4 linked regions of the Schizosaccharomyces pombe genome follow. Changing the gene in region 4 together with the main gene of any one other region gives a genetic interaction. Each region holds a gene or a part of one and is shown on either strand. Other genes may lie near its edges.

Region 1 (3,599 bases), on a different chromosome or scaffold from region 4:
ACCTTGGCTCCATGTTTGGCAGCACGACGAGCCGAAGCCAAACCGCCTAATATTCATAAATGTTAACCCATCAAATCCCGAAAGTATCGAATTGTACTTACCACTTCCACCACCAATTACCAGGTAATCAAAGACCTTTGAAATAGGTGCCATTCTAGTTTTAATACTTCGTGTATATAGGTAATGAAGAAGTTGAATACTGTTATAAACCAACGGAAGGTAAGGGTAAGACGTCTTTACCATGAATTCGTTATGATAATATTAGGAAATTTTATGGCAATATTAGTCATCTTCAAAAGTAAGCAATACCTCCATAAAGTGATAATTAGATTAGAAGAATTCCTTAGACTTTGCCATTGAACAGATGGAAATACTTTTCTCAGGCCAATGATAGTATAGAGTTTTTATTAAAAAATAAGTATTCAGAACTGGTTAGTACTTTAATTACAAGATCTCATCGACAACTCTGGAAAAGCAACCAATGTTTTAAGATAAACCATTTTTTTGTAATAAACATAGATGATTTGAAAACCTAGAGCGATCTTCCTAATATACATTAACTTTGAAGCAAGTGGATGATTCACACACGCAGAAAAAAAAATCAACCGAGTTTCCTAACAGCGTCTACACGCGACTGTAAAATACTTAAAGCTGGACAAACCCATTGAAGACAACTGCATTGTAAACCTTGCCATTTATAAGAACCAATTTTAGAATTGCATTTTGGACAATCAAATCGACCTTCCAAATTTCCCAACTCCAATTCTGGCTGCATCCAGCGAATAGGTTCCAAAAAGTAATGAGTACATCTTGTATGAGAATAATTATTTTCATCTTTCGGTTCATGCGATACCAGATAATCAGAGCTGGCAAGGACAAACCGACATTTTTTACAGCGAAGCTCTAATTGTCCTGCACGGGCACGGACAGTCTCAGCGTAAGCGACTTCAGATGGTACCCTAGTATTCAACACCGCGAAATCACCATATCTTCTGAACAGCCATTGGCGGTATGGGCGCAAACTTCGATCAAGTTGGTAATTACACTCAAAGTATACGCGAAGTTGACGAAGAAAATTAGCATTAGGAGATATTCCAGAGCGCCTTTCATTAATATGGGAGAGTGCTTCCTCAGTATTCCAATTGTTTTCCTTCATCAAGTATGCAGCCACTAAGGTTACGGACCTTGATATGCCCGCAAAGCAGTGAACCAAAACTTTGGCATTTTTAGATAGTGCAAAAGCGATGAATTTATTTGACTTTTCGAAGTATTGCAGAATATTTTGAGAACTAGAGTCTTCAATTTGCAACCAAAGGTGTTGTTGTTCAGGAACCGACAAATTGGGATTAATACTCATAGCGCTTAATGTATAATCGATCCCTTTGTCTGAAGTAGACACTAGCTCTGACGCCGTTTTCCAACTACTAATATACAAATTTTTTGATATTTCCGACAAGTCATTGAGGCTGTCAGGATAATGCACCTCGTCTATAGCTTTCTGTACATCGTTGCTAGACTGTAAAAACCCTTCTGCTTCTTGAACGGATGAGTGAATTTCATCAAACTGAGGTTGCCATGCACTTTTGTTGCTCATTCTATTATTAAGTTTCTGATTTACCACTTTGAAACCGAAAGAAACATAAAAACATGAAAAACACTTAACTTTTCCAATTACTCTAATTATTTCGCTTGGCAAACAACCAAAACCAAAAAATGCTCTTTTTGAATTATTTTAAATATATCAATTAGTTTTCCCTTTTATTCCTGTTTTTGGTGTTTGGATTGATTCAAAAGTGCATGTTACTTAAGCCACTTGACCTTCGATATGTTACTTGGTTTAAAGGGTTTCTGGTAGCATCGATCCATCCAAGTACAAAGTTGGCAGAGATTGAAGGCACTTGAAACTTTGGTTCTCTCATCAAACTTGGACTTAATTTCCTTCTTTCATATCACCAAAATGGAATCTAGTAGAGAAGAAGCCCTTAGGTACGAATAATGAGGATTGCGTGAGATTTTATTACTAACACATGTTACGTGTAGATGCATTGGACTTGCAAGAAAGTATTTAAATGCCGGAGAATATGATAAGGCTTTAAAATTTGCTAATAAATCTTTGCGAATTCATGCTACCACTGAGGGCGAAGATTTTGTGAAACAAATAGAAAAGCAAAAGCTTACAGGTTCTCCAAATCCTCAGGCAACTCCTAAGCAAGAAAACAAGAGTAACTTTTTTTCTGAAAAACAGTCGGTGCGGGAAAATGGGAATAGCTCTGCTGGTGAAAAGAAACAGAAGTGGACAAGCGAACAACATTTGTTGGTCCAGAAAATCATAAAGTACAAAAATCACCAGTACTATGAAATATTGGATTTAAAGAAAACCTGCACTGATACAGAAATCAAAAAGTCTTATAAAAAATTAGCATTACAGCTCCATCCAGACAAAAATCACGCACCTAGTGCTGACGAAGCATTTAAAAGTACGTCTTCATTTTTTAGCTAATAATTTTTAAGGTTTTTTTTTGTATCCTAACTTTTTTATAGTGGTTTCAAAAGCCTTTCAGGTTTTATCAGACCCTAATCTACGAGCACACTACGACCGTACAGGAATGGATCCTGAATCTCGCGCCTCTGCTGCGAGCAGCTCTTTTAGTAGTAACGCAGGAGGCCATCCTGGATTTTCTGCTTATCCTCAAGCGAATATGTCTCCCGAAGATTTGTTCAATTCTTTCTTTGGTGACCAGTTCTTTTCAGGTCCAGGAACATTTTTCTTCGGTGGTGGACCTGGCATTCGAGTTCATCAGTTTGGCGGCCGTCCAAGGAATTTTGCACGTCGTCAGCAGGCCCAGGACATGCCCCCAAAGAGCATATTTTATCAGTTGCTACCTTTGATAGTGGTAATCCTTTTTGCCTTTTTGTCCAACTTTAGTTGGTCAGATAGTACGTCGGTTAATACGCGCTATTCATTTCAACAAAACTATAAATACACTGTTCCTCGTACTACTGCCAAGCATAACATTCCATACTATATGAGCCAAAAGGATTTGGATAAGCTAAGTTCAAGAGATATAAGAAGACTCAACGAAAAAGTCGAGCATACGTATACTCAAAACGTCCATAATGCTTGTTTGCGCGAGCAACAAATTAAAGAAGACGAAATTCGAAGAGCTCAAGGATGGTTCTTTCCTGATAAAGAGGCACTGAAGAAGGCTAAAGAATTGCGTTTACCTAATTGCGAAGAATTAAACCGCCTTGGCTATCGAACTTATTCAAACAGTTATTATTTTTAAGCAATAGTCTTTGAGACATACTTCCTTGTCCTTTGTTTTGTTTCATTTTCTTTAATTCACATCTATACCTATTCTCGTGTTGTTTACTTTCATAAAAATTTTAATTGGGTTTTTGGAACAAAACTAATATTCTTTACGCGTATCTTAAAGCCTGCCTCTTCGGTTTTTAGGTAACTTTAGGCTGTTTATCTTTAATGAAATCGGCATGCGTTATTCCTAAAAGTTGCCTTTAAAACATGAACAAATTAGAACTTGTGTTTATGTTGTGGTTTTTTTATTGTTATTGAACATTCAGTGCTGCGTCAGTTTATA
Region 2 (4,641 bases), 1.9 Mb from region 4:
GCAAAACTTTCAAGATTTAAGAAGATATGTATATATACTTTAAGATCACCATAGCTAGTGTGGATCATTCTAGTGTGTATTTTAAAAATGGCATATTCCATTTTGTTTACTCTACTTTCAAATTTTTTTTTTTTTAAAGTGGGTCATCACTACAGAAATTATTCAATGAAATATATCTTCTGTTTTGTAGCTCAATGAAAACTCATAATTATATAAACATATTTCCTTAAATTCCACACTCCAGTTGCCTCATATCCATAATGTGATTTTTTTATGTCTTGTTTTGGTAAAATCTCTGATTGTGTGTGGCTTTTTTACCTAGCTATTAAAATTAATGGTTCGGTTTTCAGATTCGGACTTAAAGTCATATCAAAACCCCTACCCATTTTTCTAGCATTTCCAATAGTGGTTTACCAGCGCAACAACTCAAACAGCATCTCACTCACAAAACCATATGATCATTCATCATCTATAGCATTTAAATTAAATTAAATTAAATTAAATTATTAAAGCATCATTGCTTAATGCTTTATTTTTCATTTGCGCGCTAACTGATTTTTATTTATTAATTGTTCTCACTGCTTCTCTATATCTCTGTCTTGCATACAACAAAGGAAAACACAATGTGACACAGTTTATACAAAAAAAATCATTAATAATTCATAATATCATTAGAATCCTATAAAATGTTTTGTTGTTCAGGTATATGTACACACACTAAGTGAATTTAAAAGAATATTAAACGAGAAGGGTTCAAAGCCGCCCGCCATAGTTAACCAAAAGTAAGCAGAAACATTAATCTCAATTAAAAAAAGTAATTTTGTACGAGTGTCGACTTTTGTTTCACTATATTTTTTTTTTGGAAATTTGTTTGCTTTGGAGATTGAAATCATCCAACGTGAAGCACTTATTGGGTTTAGTAAGACTCGCTCTCAATTTATTTCCGTAAGTGGATCACGCTATTAAATTATTAGGGGCAATCACTCTTTGTCTGCGGTACAAATCTAAAACAAACGAGGGATCCCCATTTTCGTGTTGCTCAAAATATTTTATTAAGACTTCAAAGGCCATGGCAGCCTCCACGTTTGATATTTGAGGCTCCACGTCTTCTTCCTCATCCGACTCAAAGCGTCTCTCCTCCAGAAACTCTGCAGCAACGGTATCCACAGCATCTTGATGTAATTTGGTTTCATCTTCTTCAGAAGGTCTAATGTATTCATTAATTTGCTTAACAGCTTCGCTGCCCTTGCTTGAAATCAGATTACCAATTTCCATAATGGCCTTTTGATACGACTCCATTCCTTGTCCTTCGGCCTCGGAATGTGGACCCAATAATCCTGATCGGAGAAAAGATGCTTGAATAGTCTTTTCACTCACCCCAAAATTCCAAGACCAAAGCATCCACCGAATGGCTTTTAAAACATTAACGGCTTTTAGAGGATCTCTCAATATGTTGATTTGATTAAGGGAGTATTGCAACCAGTATCTTCGATAATTCGCTTTAAATGTATCGACTATTCCTTGTTCAAACGGAGACTTAATGTCCAATGTTTTTTCTGGAATTCGAAATACAGAGGTGTTCTGAAAACCACCTTTAAACCGTCGAACACTTTCAACACCGAACTGATATGTGTCATTGCTCTCTAACATCAATAGGACCTTGCGTCCTTGCATACGTGTGTCAAACCACCGAAGCCATTCCTCCATAATAATTGGTGAAATTGAAGCTCGGCCATTCCACTTCCATTCGAAGTTCATACTTTTAGGGAAAATACCGCACTGCTCAAAAGATCTTGGGTTTTGTGCATAACCCACGATCCATAAAGGTAGTCGTTCTGACCCATCGGCATTGCAACACATAATTAAAGACACTTTGGCTTTTCCACGCTTCATTCCCTGGATTTCCTGATAATCCAAGTTTTGTTTATTAGGAGTGAGTTTCCAAAAAAGGCTTGTCCCTCCAACGCAAAATATATCTTTTTGGGCATAAGGCCGTATAAACTCTTGAATATGAACTGGGTATTCTCTAAACACCTCAAATTTGATGGATTCCAATGCCTGATTTACCGCACTTTGCTGGATATAATGTCTTCTTCTAAATTTATCCAACCAACCATTGCTAAAGTCTGGTAATGGGAGAGAAGCATACGCCGGAATTTTCGACCAAAATCGAGTAGCAGCTTGTTTGATCATATCCCCTGATATAGGAAGGCCTTCAACTTCTCTTTGTTGCAACCATTCGTACACGGCATTGTCAAGCAAAGGAAACTTTGGAGCTCGAATTTTTTTAATATCACCGAGTCTTACACTTCCATCATCTAAATAACTGTATTTGGGTGAAAGAATTTCGGAAATCGTTGACTGCGATAAATCTTTATTGTACGTTTTTCGAAACCATTCTGTCACTTCCTTTTGAGGAATTCTATGGGCAGATTGGTTATAATAATCTCGAATTGCCTTTTTCTCTGCTAAAGAGACGGCCTGGCGTATAGGAGGCATTGATTTTCCTTAATACTTACTATGCCGATACTTTTCCAGACCGATATAAGAGTATAGCCTTGGATTTATACAATTATTTTATGTTGTAGTAGATATCGGAAATAACGGTGAAAAGACGAATTCTATCCTTGTAGGGTTTAAGAAGGTGAGTACTACTAGTGCATCCTTCTGCCTTGCACCCTATATAATCTAAGTGCAATATACCGAACCTATTGTTAATCTGTAATAACAATGCCATTGGAGATGCTCAAATTATGACGTTCAGGTTAATATAGCAAATTTGCGTATCTTAACGATTTTGTCAGTAAGAAAAAGAGAATTCAAGAGCAAAAAATAGGAGAAAGAACGACATGAACGCTGTTAGAAACCGTTTAAAATCAATTCTCATATATGTTTTAAATGAGAGTCTAATTGAATACTTCCTCAAATTTCATTTCTGTAGCACACCTCTTCTCACTATTAAACAAAAATGTGTAAATAAATAAATGTTCCTTGGTATTGTAACAAAAATGGCGATTCTGAAGTTCATGAGCATTTTCCCTTCTCTTTCATTTAATAAATTCTCGAATTTTCAAATAACATAATATGTAAGTTCTCAGTTTTGGTGTAATTACTTTTAATTCCAATATTTCCATTCATAGTTCAATTCATAATACTTACTATCAAGTCTATTTCAATAATGTATGTTACACGTGTGATCCAATGTTTAAAAATGTAGAAGTAAATTTATAAAAGCAAAGCCAAAAATAAAGAACAAAGCTGTTTAAGCTAGTTACGGTACGAAGAGTAGGTGTTACTTACGTTTGATTCATTATTATTAACAGTAGAACTAATTAGTAAGCATCGTCTCAAAGAACCATTAGGAAATTCTTACAGCATACGGTACCGTTATCATATAAATAGCAAGCTTTGCATACCTAGCAGCTTAGTTTTTCCAATATTATTCGCTTAAAATTGAGAATACACATTTGATATTTACAGAGTTAAGCATTTTTAAATTAAAGTTGTGAAAAGATGCCTATCGTTAGCGGATTTAAAGTCGGACCTATTGGCTTTGGTCTTATGGGTTTAACCTGGAAGCCCAAGCAAACTCCAGATGAAGAAGCCTTTGAAGTAATGAATTATGCCTTATCCCAAGGCTCCAATTATTGGGATGCGGGTGAATTTTATGGTGTCGACCCTCCCACCTCTAATTTAGATTTATTAGCTAGATATTTTGAAAAATATCCCGAAAACGCTAATAAGGTGTTTTTATCTGTCAAAGGTGGTTTGGATTTTAAAACACTAGTTCCTGATGGAAATCCGGACTTCGTGTCAAAGAGTGTTGAAAATGTGATAGCTCATTTACGTGGGACCAAAAAGCTAGATCTCTTCCAATGTGCTCGAGTCGACCCAAATGTTCCCATTGAGACAACCATGAAGACATTGAAGGGGTTTGTGGACTCTGGAAAGATTTCATGTGTCGGCCTTAGCGAAGTTTCTGCTGAAACTATCAAACGTGCTCACGCTGTGGTCCCCATTGCTGCAGTCGAAGTCGAATACTCCTTGTTTTCTCGTGATATCGAGACAAACGGTATTATGGATATTTGTAGGAAGTTATCTATCCCTATTATTGCATACTCTCCTTTCTGTCGTGGCCTTTTGACTGGTCGCATTAAGACTGTCGAAGACCTTAAAGAATTTGCTAAATCTTTCCCATTCTTAGAATATTTGGACAGATTTAGCCCTGATGTTTTTGCTAAAAATCTTCCATTCCTCCAAGCTGTCGAGCAACTTGCTAAAAAGTTTGGTATGACTATGCCCGAGTTTTCACTTCTTTTTATAATGGCGTCTGGAAACGGTCTGGTCATTCCTATTCCTGGCTCCACATCTGTTTCTCGTACAAAGAGCAATCTCAATGCACTGAATAAATCTTTGTCTCCTGAACAATTTAAAGAGGCCAAAGAGGTCTTGAGTAAATACCCAATCTACGGGTTACGTTATAATGAACAGCTTGCGGGCACTCTTTCCGTTTAAAGTGCTGAAGTTAGTCGATACTCTTTCGCATTTCAGTTTTGAAATGCATATTAAATATAAACTTATTATATGCTAGCCTTACTTAGGTATTCAGTAATGACAATTTATTTACAGCGAAAATGTTAA
Region 3 (4,593 bases), on a different chromosome or scaffold from region 4:
TTGCTTACGGAGCCTTAGAATACCAAAGAAAAGTGTATCAAATAGTTTGAAGGAGCGAGAACGCTTGACAGAAGTATGTTTCTTAATACCAGAACGGGAACGATTATGCATAGGGGTATTTAATTTTTCACTCGATATACATAACTTAGAGGGATCTTCAATGTTGACAGAAGTAGGAAGTTGCGATGGACTGCGCATATCATTTGCCTGCGCATCATTAGTGCCTTGACGGGTATAACTGGAATTTTGATGTGGAAGCATGGTAATAAATTTTAAGAAAAAGAGAAAATAAAAGTAAAATGGAAACAAATCACAATCAAAGGTGAAGTGATGGGATTAAAGGTTTTAATGAGAAAATAATTCGACAAATATGTAACAAAGGGAAACTTTTTTTTTGAATTACACGAAATGTTTTCAAACTTGAATTATGCACAAAATTAGAGAAACCTGAGAATAATAAATAAGCTTGATAATCCAAATAGCCAAGGGATTAATGGGATATAGGGTTGTAGTGATATTTCGGGTGTTTAATTTATTTAGAAATGGGTATAAAGTCCAGACTGTAAACAGAAAATAATCAGTAAACGAAATCTTTAGTGTTCCGTCCGAAAGAAGTTACCCTAACGAGATATGAAATTATGCGAACAGACGAAGTTTTAGAAGCCGACAATTGAATAAATAAAGGATCAAACTTGCTTAGTTTTATCGAAGGAAGCAAAGCAAGAGAACCGTGAGTAGGAAATAGAAAGTGAACAGTAATAAAAAAAAGTAAAACAGTAGGGAACGTTTTCTTAGAGCTTATTACAATTACGAAAAATAAAGCTTATCCCAATTGAGATAGTTAAAAAAAAAGGAACGAAATAAAACGATATGAAAGACAACAAAGGATGGAAAAACAAAAACAAACCGCTGAATGAATTAATCAAAAGAAAGCGGAAAAATTAATAAATACTCATCAATAGAGTAGCACAAGATGAAGCGAAGGGAGTAGGACAAGGCGTTAAGCCTGCGTTTAGTCTGAACAATAGATATAGACTAAAAAGTGAAAGACGGAATTTCAAAGTCTTAATTGGGGTATTCTATGTATATATACGTCCATATCTGGTAACATTTGCAAACCGTCTTTGATGTCAATTTAATAAGGAACCGAAGGTAACTTGCACACCTTGAGCAGTGACTGGGAGTAACACTCTCCTTGACATTCCCTCGGTACATAGGAGACGAATGAACCGAATGAACAAATAAACTAGATAGTTGCCCAAAAATGCACACAAAGCATTATCACTTTTATTAATTCAAATAACGACATACCAAAGTCGTAAAAGTTGGTAACAAACTCTTCAAATGATATTTCTACTATAACATTTTTCGTAGTACTTACCACTACGGGAGATTTGTAGAATCGGTATGATGCTGTGGAAGAAGAGTTATAGCGGGTTTCCTCAATGTGTACATGTTATTCTCATTGTACACTTGCATCTTAATTTTCACATTGCTCTCTCCCATCAATGATTTGCTTTGGAAAAACAACGGGAACAGAAATCTGGGAGGGAACGGAAAAGTATATTCATAGCAATCACAATTTAACGATAATTATTATGGTCAAATGAATACATATATTGAAAAGAATCGGTCAGCTGGATAGAAAATATGTAAACAGTGCAGCACTTATGAAGGTAATTTTATTTGTTTGCATCAGGTAGCAAGAGTTTTACGGGGATTAATAGAATTCGTTATATATACACTAACAATATAGGACGTAGTTTGTTATTGCTACCTAGTGTTGGGCGATACCAGCTAACGGTGTAGTGTATTTGGCTTTCTCTTTTGTGCATTCAGGGTTGTTGATTGCGAGTCTTATTCAATTTTATTCTGCCAATGCCGGGTTCACCAAGCCAAGAGCCTTTGGCAGAGGCCGAGTCTAATATGCTTCAAAGACTGGAGCAACTACAAATGCAAACATCGAATATTCTCAAGGAACTGCATTCTACGTCGATTTTCACGGATTCTACCACCTCACAACTTCATAATGGAGGTGAGAACTCTGTAATGGATACTGAGGAATCCTCGGCTATTGATAAATTAAGTGCCTCTTTACAGCAAGTAAACATTTCTTCACCATCAGTTCCTACCTCTCAATCTCGGGTTACCCAAGGCCAGTCATTAGGAAATACCCAAATATCTAATCCTACTTCAAAGACTAATAATGTACGAGCCAAAGCTCGGAATATTCGTAATCCCTCTCAACGTCTTCGACCCTCGACTAGTTTGGCCAGGTTATCAAATAACGCACCTCGCATTCCCAAAGAGGCATCACTACATGAGAATTCAATTTCTTCCAAGGAATCTCCTTCTGTAACGACCTCTAAACATGTCGCTACTATTACAAAACCTTCAACGTCGTCTATCGCCCGAATGTCCTCAAATGCTAGAATTGCTGCTATTCCGAGAGCGAAATCTTCAATGGCAGTTCGTTCACCATCACGCCTTGGTAATGGCCCGAATGTGCGCTCACCAAAGGTCGGCTTCAATGCAAAGTCGGATGATAGCCCCGTCGTCAAATCTCCTGGCTCTAACGACAAGCCTTCAGCTTCTCCTCGAATTTCTGTTCGTTCTCTCGGAAATTCTTCTGTCGTTCGTCCACCCACAAGGACTTCCACCACCCGTCCATTATCTAGAGTTAACGTAACAAATGCTTCCGGAAGTATCTCAAAGAATTCTACTAGTCCTTCCAAAGTAAAAGTCAACGCATCGACCAAGATCGTGCGTCCTGTAAGTGCAGCTCAGACTGTCCGACCGGGATCCAGAATCTTCAGAGAAAACTCTGCGTCCAATACTCAAAGACCCAACGTCTCTGCCACTTCTAACTCAACTGTTCGGGTAGCTTCTTCATTAGCTGTACGACCTGTTTCACGTAACGCGCAGGCGCGTACTCCCTCAAGATTAGAACAGAGAGAAGTTAATGTGAAAAATTCATCAGCTAAAATCGTTCGTCCAGGTACTTCTTTAGGTGTTCGTTCACCTTCTCGCATTCAATCCACTCTCTCTTCGAGGACAACTACAGGCAATGTTCGTACTAAAGCGGCTAATATCGTTCGTCCTTCTTCATCAATCAACCGTCGCCCTCCTTCGTCAATAAATCAACGCCCTCCTTCAAACTTGCGCATTTTGGCTCCATCTCGCTCGCGTGCAACAATTCATGAGAGACCAAGCAGTTCAATTTTACACAGGCATGCCCATTCACTAACTTCTTCATCCTTTTCCACTAAAACATTGGCTACAACCAAAGAAATTCAGAATTCGCCTACTTTGGTAGAGTCTTCGACAGTCGTTCATCATGATCCTTCTTATCTTCAAAACCAAACTTCCGAAATTAACGATACTAATCACTCTTCTCATTCGTCACCTTTGGACCTTAACAGAATGATATAAAAGTTGAGTGAGCTGCTGTAATTTGATGGCTTCTGTTCCATTTACACTTATTATTCTGCATAATTTATATCACATGTAGATGTTTTATCATAAGGATATTATTATTAAAAATAAGACAAACCATACGGGAAGAATTGGATGTTACGATTTGATATATTACTTTGTATTACTTAAGATCAGCTAATTAATAGCTTTTAAGCTGAAATTATGTTGCATAGGTTTATTCAGTTGAAAGCTTCACGACTGACTTGATGATAGTCGAGAAGTTTAGAGGGATGCGCTCTGTGTTAAAATTCAGCATGCAGCAACATCAGCATACAACCGATATGTAATAAATTAACATTAACAAACTGGCATTGTTTTCGTGCTCTATCAACTATCAGCAGTAAGTAATTGAAGACATTATGAAGTAAATGAGATTGCTGCATTACTAATTCATTTAGCAAAAAATTAAGTAAATAGAAGGGTTAATTTGTGCAACTTGTACGGTATATTTTGGATAGCGCAATTACGTTACGATTCATAACTGCAAGAATATCGAGCTACTCCAGTGCGCTTTCCTTAGGAAACCAAAACAATATTTTAGTACCTTTTTTTTAAATATTACTGACGAGTTTCATTCTGATTTCTTTTTATTACTCCTAACGGATGTGGCTTTAATACAATCATGTCAATGAACAGCTCAACGGAAATTTCTCAAGAGCCCTCTATAATGAAACCGGTATCTTCAGTAAGTATTTTTGCTATTTGAACTTCTGCGTACCTTGAGTCTCAGTTCTTGTATGAACTTTACTCTCAAATTAATGGTTGTTTGCGTAGTTAATTATTTTGGATTTATTGTTAAATCGTTCATGTTTTGTTTAACGATTTCCAAACAAAAAAAGTCTGAATATTTTACCTCTCCTTCAAAGAGTTTGTCTAACCCTAGCTAGATTTCAAGTTTCGTATTTAATGCAGGATTTTTACAGGGAACTTTCTCTGACACTACTCTCATTATAAAAGGTGAAACATATCATTTGCATGCCCTTTTTCTTGGCAGATCACCTGTTCTTCTACAAAAGCTTATTGAAAATAATCCCAAAGGTGATGTACATTATACCATAGAAGTAGAGACAGAGGATCCCTATGTTACTAAGGAATCCTGTTTGTTTGTGCTTTCTA
Region 4 (5,641 bases):
ATCCTGGTAATGAAGAAACTGCCGCCGGTTGGACCAGCTTCGACTGTAATGCTGAAGGTAACGTTCTTTTCTTAGGAGGTTCGTCAGGAAAAGTAAAAGTTGTCAACATTAATAGTAGTCATATTCTTGCTTCTTTGGAGGCCCAAACTGAAAGTGTAGAAGCTATCGCACTTTGCACGGCCTTACCTATATGTGCGTGTGCTAGTGTCGATGGTACTGTCGCGCTTTACGATTCTGCATCCCTTAAGTTTAGAAAATCCCTTCCCCATGAACAAGCGGTTATTGATTGTAAGTTTTTACCCAACACTCCATATTTGTTGACTGCATGCGCGGATTGTGTTATTCGAAAATGGGATGTTCGGTCTGGCCAATTACTTGGCGAGTATACAGGCCATCAAGAGCCTATCTTGTGTATGGCTATTACTCCAGATGGTAAACGTGTTGTAACCGGTTCTGATGACACCGAATTACTTGTTTTTGATTGCGAACATTAAAAGTGTTAAAAAGGTTAATTTTTTGAAAAGAAAAAAAAATTATTATTATGGGATAAACGCGTTCGATATTAATTTATATATATTCATGGGGATTAATATTTTTTTTTTAAACTATTGAGTAAACAAGTAATACAAGTAAACTAGTGTTTTATCCAAGAATTATTATTCCTATATAATCTGTAGCAAATCTAATCAAGTATATTTTTATTCTCCATGGTGTTTTTAATTGTACCATTTGGTATTAAGCTGCTTTTTCTTTACCAAAGGCTTTGTTAACAGAACGGCGAGCAGAATGCCAAAAGTGGTCAACATAAGTTGTTTCTTATCAAAATGGCTACTGAGCATGTCATATGGCATACTTGGAGCTGTTCTGGTAAAAAAAACATCAAGTCCGGTTGATAAAACCAACGTCGTACTTTCAAAATTAGTAATACCAGAAGTGATTTGAGATACTCCGTACACGCGCTTGTTGTAAGACAACACCATATCATCGTTCAATGGTATAATGGGTTCGTATGGGATAAAGGACGCATCATTTGCTTTTTCATTAGGTCTAAGGACTGGGCGCATAGGGCTCAAAAGAGCTTGTGGAATCATTGCAACTTGGTTACTTGATAGGCCAAGTAAAACATCTCTCGAGGTGATGCCCTGCGGAGTGTTGGTGACACCCAAAGTCGTAATTTCTCTATCGAATATATATGCTTTAGTGAACGCATAGGGCCTGTAATCATTATGACGAGAATATATTTCGTTGCTGTCGATTTTTTCGTTAGAGTGAGATCCCTCAAAAAGCTCAACTGATATTATCTTGGTAGACAAATTAGGCACATCGCTCTGATAACTATAAACAAGCCAATTCTCGGAGAAGACTCCATAAACTTTGTCGAACAATATTATTCCTTGGTGTTTATTCTGATACACTATAGAACCGGTAACGGAGTCCATTACATAGACGACTAAATCGTTTTTGCATTTTGAAAATAACGCAAATAAATTGGGATTCAAATATTTGTACATTACTTCACGGTTTTGCAAAACACGACCGAAAGAAGCCACTATTTCGTGAGGATTACGACGTATAGAAGCAATAACTATTTCACCCTCGGCTAGATTGTACGACCATTGAACATCCATTGTAAGGTCAGCAGAAATACTGAACCCTTCGACTTTGGTTTCAGAAGTGTAAACAAAAATAGAATTGGCTTCTTGAGAAATTTTTTCGAATATTGAGTTATCACCGGTCAAGGGTAAAACCTTATAATCTTTTACGGCAAATATTTGATTAGGTAAGTTTTTGGAGATATTATCAACGTAGTAAAACTCGTCAGCTTTAAAGTCTCTAGATTTTTGAGATATCACGGACCCATCCGATGCATTCAAAATATAAAAGCTAAAAGCATCATTCCACTGGTGCACAAAAGCAAATTTTGGATCTTCGTCTGAAATATCCAATAGCCAAGATTCAACACTTTCCGGGTTAATATTAAAATCATAGCGCCATAATATCCTGTGCACTTGTTTAGGGTCGCTGGATAAACAAAATATAGATCCTGTTGATGTTGGTATAATAATTTTCGTGGTAAAAGCATCATCCAATACTGAGGATGAAGTAAAACCATGAGGATGTTTCAAGAAATCTATGAGTTGATTAAAATGACGGTACCATCGATTTAAGAAAGAGACCGATGAATTTTCCTCATCTTGAATGGATTTCTGGTAGCTTGTCAATAAAGTTGTTGGAAGAATAGAGGGATTGATAGCATATGCCAATGCTTCTTCCCGCTTCCAAACTAATTCGGTATTCGAAAATGAAAAGAAAGTTCCGTCGTCCAAAATTACAATTGCGGAAATTTCTCCCTCAGCAAATGTAAATAAACGGAATACAGGTCTAGAAAGCTGGTTGGGAATGGTAATTACTGTGGCTGGTGCGAATTTAATTTGATTAGCCACTGCAAACACTCGAGAAAATGTTTGGTTATCTTCCATATGGATATATCCTAGAGCTTCGGTGTCCTCATGTATATACTCATCAATCAAAACAAATTCGCTATCAATGATAACAAAGAGGTAAGTGACTGGGGTGGATTGAGAATCGACTGTAATTGAATAGCCATGTCTCTTACCAGGTATACTAGACCATTCGAATGTTTTATATTCATCTATAAGCAGTTGAGAAATATCTGCCATAGAAACATGGATACCGTAAATAACACCGTTGGAAGAGTAAATAATAACATCTTTCTCTGTGACTAATAATTGTGCGTTTTCAGGAACATTAAGAACAGTTTCAGGTCCATAAACAGCATAATTGTGATCTAAAGCTTGTAGAACAAATTGACCATCCCTCTTGAACAAGACGTAGTTTTTCTCAGCATAAGTCAAAAAGGAAATAGCATCTAATTGTAAATCCCTTTCAATTGAAATAGAAAATGAAGCTTGCAAATCCAACTCTATGAACTTGCGAGTATGAGGATTGAGGTAAACAAAACCTTTATTAACCTCAAATAATTTACCTTTTCCATCAGCGAGCTCAATTTTTCTGTCCAAAATACCATTTTTGGAATTCCAAATATACAAATAATCTTTGTCCACGGTGATAATAAAGTTAGTGACTGGGTTATAGTTGAGTTGACTAGTTTCAGGTGCAATGGATTGGCGCCAAATCACATCTCCGTTTGATGCATTTAATTTCGCCAATAAGCCTTTCTGAGAAACGGCATACAGATATTCATTTTTGGTGTCATAAACTAGGTCATTAACTTTACCAAGTAGAGAAATTTCGAAATCGTTTTTCCCTGCTTCATCTATTAAAACACTGGCAGCTCTATAGATGTTTAAAAACAAAGCAGTAAGAAAGAGAGGCCACAGAGGCCGTAACATCGTAACTGATATGAAAAGATGGTATGTAGTCCAGTACCTGTATAGTTCCTATTGTTAATGCAAGGTATCAAATATACTGAGGAGTAGCGAACTACAACACAGTTTACTGAAGTGCGTCCCAAGAATATGCTGTTATAGCGATGCTTTTCGCAATAAATACACATTGGGTACTGTAAACTAAACAATATGGTTTGAAAGCGTATAGCAATGTCGCAGCAAGATGAATGATTGAAAAATTTAGATATTTAAAAAGAATAGTCAGTTAATTAAAAATTTGCTGTGAAACACCTGTACATTCTCTACGTTTAGCAAACGTACTAAATGCAAACAAAATGTCTATAATCACATTTTTTACTATTTATCTGCTAATTTGAAGTAGTTCATATAAAAGGCAAAAGCTAGCTAACTTCCTAATTTCATGTAGTTGATTCTATTGCAATTTTATATGTACTTGAAGTGATAACTGTATTCCTTATTTTTCGTTAAGCTAATTTAACGAATATATTGATTGCTAAGTTTACAGTCGGCTTCATATTCGCTGCTAACCGTGTTAAACCTTTACCTCCCTTCTCTTGATTCAATCATTCACTATTAAATATAAGCATTATGTCGGTTTATACAATTGCAGGTCGTCAATTCCAAGCTCATCAAGTATGTATTTTTCAAATTCCGTACACCTAACAATGAACATAGTTGAGTTTAGCTGTTCTCGGTTCAGTATTTGTTGGTCCTGTGATCTATAGTAAATTGTTTAAAAGAAATAAGCCACTTAGCGCAAAGGATGTTCCTCCTTTGAATGCCAAAAGCAAAGAAGAAGAAGAATTCATTTTGTAAGTAAAGCTATTGCTCTATAGCGAGTGTTTGGAATATATTTACTAATACTACTTTATAGGAAATACATTGAAGAACATAAGTAGGAAATCCTTGATTACCGAACGGACGATTAGTGAGTGAAAAATTATCTTTTCATTAGTAATGAAATATCTCTATGTCATTAGGTAATTTTAATGTACACGTTGAGCAAATTTGAAGATGAATGAATACAATATAGCCCTGCAACATACCCATCAAAATTGCAATTAATTAATTGCTGTATAACTTAAAACTTTGTATTACCTCGTGTGATGGATGTAAGTATTTATTAATTAACAATAACATTGGGCTTCCAAATGTGTAATTCATTGTCATCAGCAACCGAAGCAATACATTGTGCCTCAAACGGATCAAAGTCCACTTCATTCACCGTACCTTTATGACCTGCATGCACAAACTCCAAAGGATTAGCTTTGTTAAAATTCCACACATAGCAATACTCTTGGCAGGCACTAACAATCCGACCAGAGTGTCTCCAGCTCCATGACAAACTGGTGCCTCCTAGAGTTAGTCTAGAAGGCACTTTTAATCTATTATCTGATAAGTCTTCAGAAGTGTTAAAAACCGATTTATTTAAGTTCCGAAGGTCCCAAAGCTGTAAATCTTGCTCAGACCCCAAAGCAAACAAAGTCGCAATTGAAGGATTATGTCTGACGCTAAAAAGGGGATTTGAAGCTTTAACTGTTTTCGAACATGTTTGTTGAAGTCGGTTATCACAAATAAAGGCAATTCCATTATCATTTACAGCAATATATAAGTTGGTGTGGTGCGGATGATATTCAACATCATTAACCGGAGAATCATCATAATGAAAATCCTTTACGGGAGTTAAGCACCTCGTATCACGGCTAAAATTATTTAGATCCCATTCTAAAATTTTCGAATCATTAGCAGCTGTTACAAGTCGGCAATTTTGCTGACGATTCCAAGATAGTCCAAACCCTTCTTTTTTGTGCCCAATCAAAGAGATATTTGGTAAAAATTCTTCAGCGGGCATTGAAGTATATTTTGTCCGATCAAATATATATGCATTTCCACAAGAGCTCATAGTAGCTATGATGTTTGGGTTTTGAGGCATGTGTCGAACACGATTTACATCGCCATTATGAAGAATTCGTTGCGAGATTTGGAACTTGCAAGAATGTTGCATACTATAGCCTCCTAGCTCACCAGTATCTTCATTGTAGTGTTTTACTGGATCCAATATAGTTTGATTGAAATCAGGTAAATCTAAATCTGCAAGCTGCAAGAAATTTGGCATCCCTTCAGCGGCATGAGTCCCTAGGAGAAGACGGTTTTTTAAAACCGCTTTTTCAGTGATCGATTCCATTGCTGAGAGCCATTGGATACTTAAAGAGGGCCATGTTAAAGTACGGGTTATTAGTAAGTTGTAT

What was found.
Region 1: mutations in emc1 (region 4) and SPOM_SPBC17A3.06 together harm fitness less than expected from each alone (positive genetic interaction), as found in Schizosaccharomyces pombe (one large-scale study listed by BioGRID).
Region 2: mutations in emc1 (region 4) and cbh1 together harm fitness more than expected from each alone (negative genetic interaction), as found in Schizosaccharomyces pombe (one large-scale study listed by BioGRID).
Region 3: mutations in emc1 (region 4) and mmb1 together harm fitness more than expected from each alone (negative genetic interaction), as found in Schizosaccharomyces pombe (one large-scale study listed by BioGRID).

What each region holds. Positions count from the first base shown.
Region 1 is NC_003423.3:1,411,050-1,414,648, reverse strand, and holds SPOM_SPBC17A3.06 (phosphoprotein phosphatase), read right to left. Parts: upstream 1,785-3,599; 5' UTR 1,595-1,784; coding exon 602-1,594; downstream 1-601. Other genes in the region: mitochondrial glutathione reductase Pgr1, read right to left, coding at 1-46, 102-153; SPOM_SPBC17A3.05C (J domain-containing protein), read left to right, coding at 1,958-1,986, 2,041-2,477, 2,542-3,287. UniProt on the Schizosaccharomyces pombe protein: May be directly involved in signal transduction and/or cell cycle regulation. It is necessary for maintaining growth rate or spore germination. Could show both activity toward tyrosine-protein phosphate as well as with serine-protein phosphate.
Region 2 is NC_003424.3:4,458,271-4,462,911, forward strand, and holds cbh1 (CENP-B protein 1), read right to left. Parts: upstream 2,609-4,641; 5' UTR 2,500-2,608; coding exon 955-2,499; 3' UTR 650-954; downstream 1-649. Other genes in the region: pyridoxal reductase Plr1, read left to right, coding at 3,514-4,515. UniProt on the Schizosaccharomyces pombe protein: Binds to centromeric K-type repeat DNA and ARS3002 DNA. The CBH-binding consensus sequence is Py-Pu-A-T-A-T-Py-Pu-T-A.
Region 3 is NC_003423.3:2,607,877-2,612,469, reverse strand, and holds mmb1 (mitochondrial microtubule binder Mmb1), read left to right. Parts: upstream 1-1,829; 5' UTR 1,830-1,926; coding exon 1,927-3,432; 3' UTR 3,433-3,782; downstream 3,783-4,593. Other genes in the region: SPOM_SPBC25B2.08 (uncharacterized protein), read right to left, coding at 1-261; BTB/POZ family ubiquitin-type ligase substrate adaptor Btb2, read left to right, coding at 4,100-4,162, 4,365-4,593. UniProt on the Schizosaccharomyces pombe protein: Involved in the cell polarity process and in regulation of microtubule growth. Has a role in meiosis. Involved in microtubule dynamics.
Region 4 is NC_003424.3:2,531,554-2,537,194, reverse strand, and holds emc1 (protein Emc1), read right to left. Parts: upstream 3,410-5,641; 5' UTR 3,375-3,409; coding exon 717-3,374; 3' UTR 540-716; downstream 1-539. Other genes in the region: ribosome biogenesis protein Sqt1, read left to right, coding at 1-494; atp19 (F0-ATPase subunit K), read left to right, coding at 3,981-4,025, 4,068-4,204, 4,267-4,291; CAF assembly factor complex subunit B Pcf3, read right to left, coding at 4,516-5,641. UniProt on the Schizosaccharomyces pombe protein: Part of the endoplasmic reticulum membrane protein complex (EMC) that enables the energy-independent insertion into endoplasmic reticulum membranes of newly synthesized membrane proteins.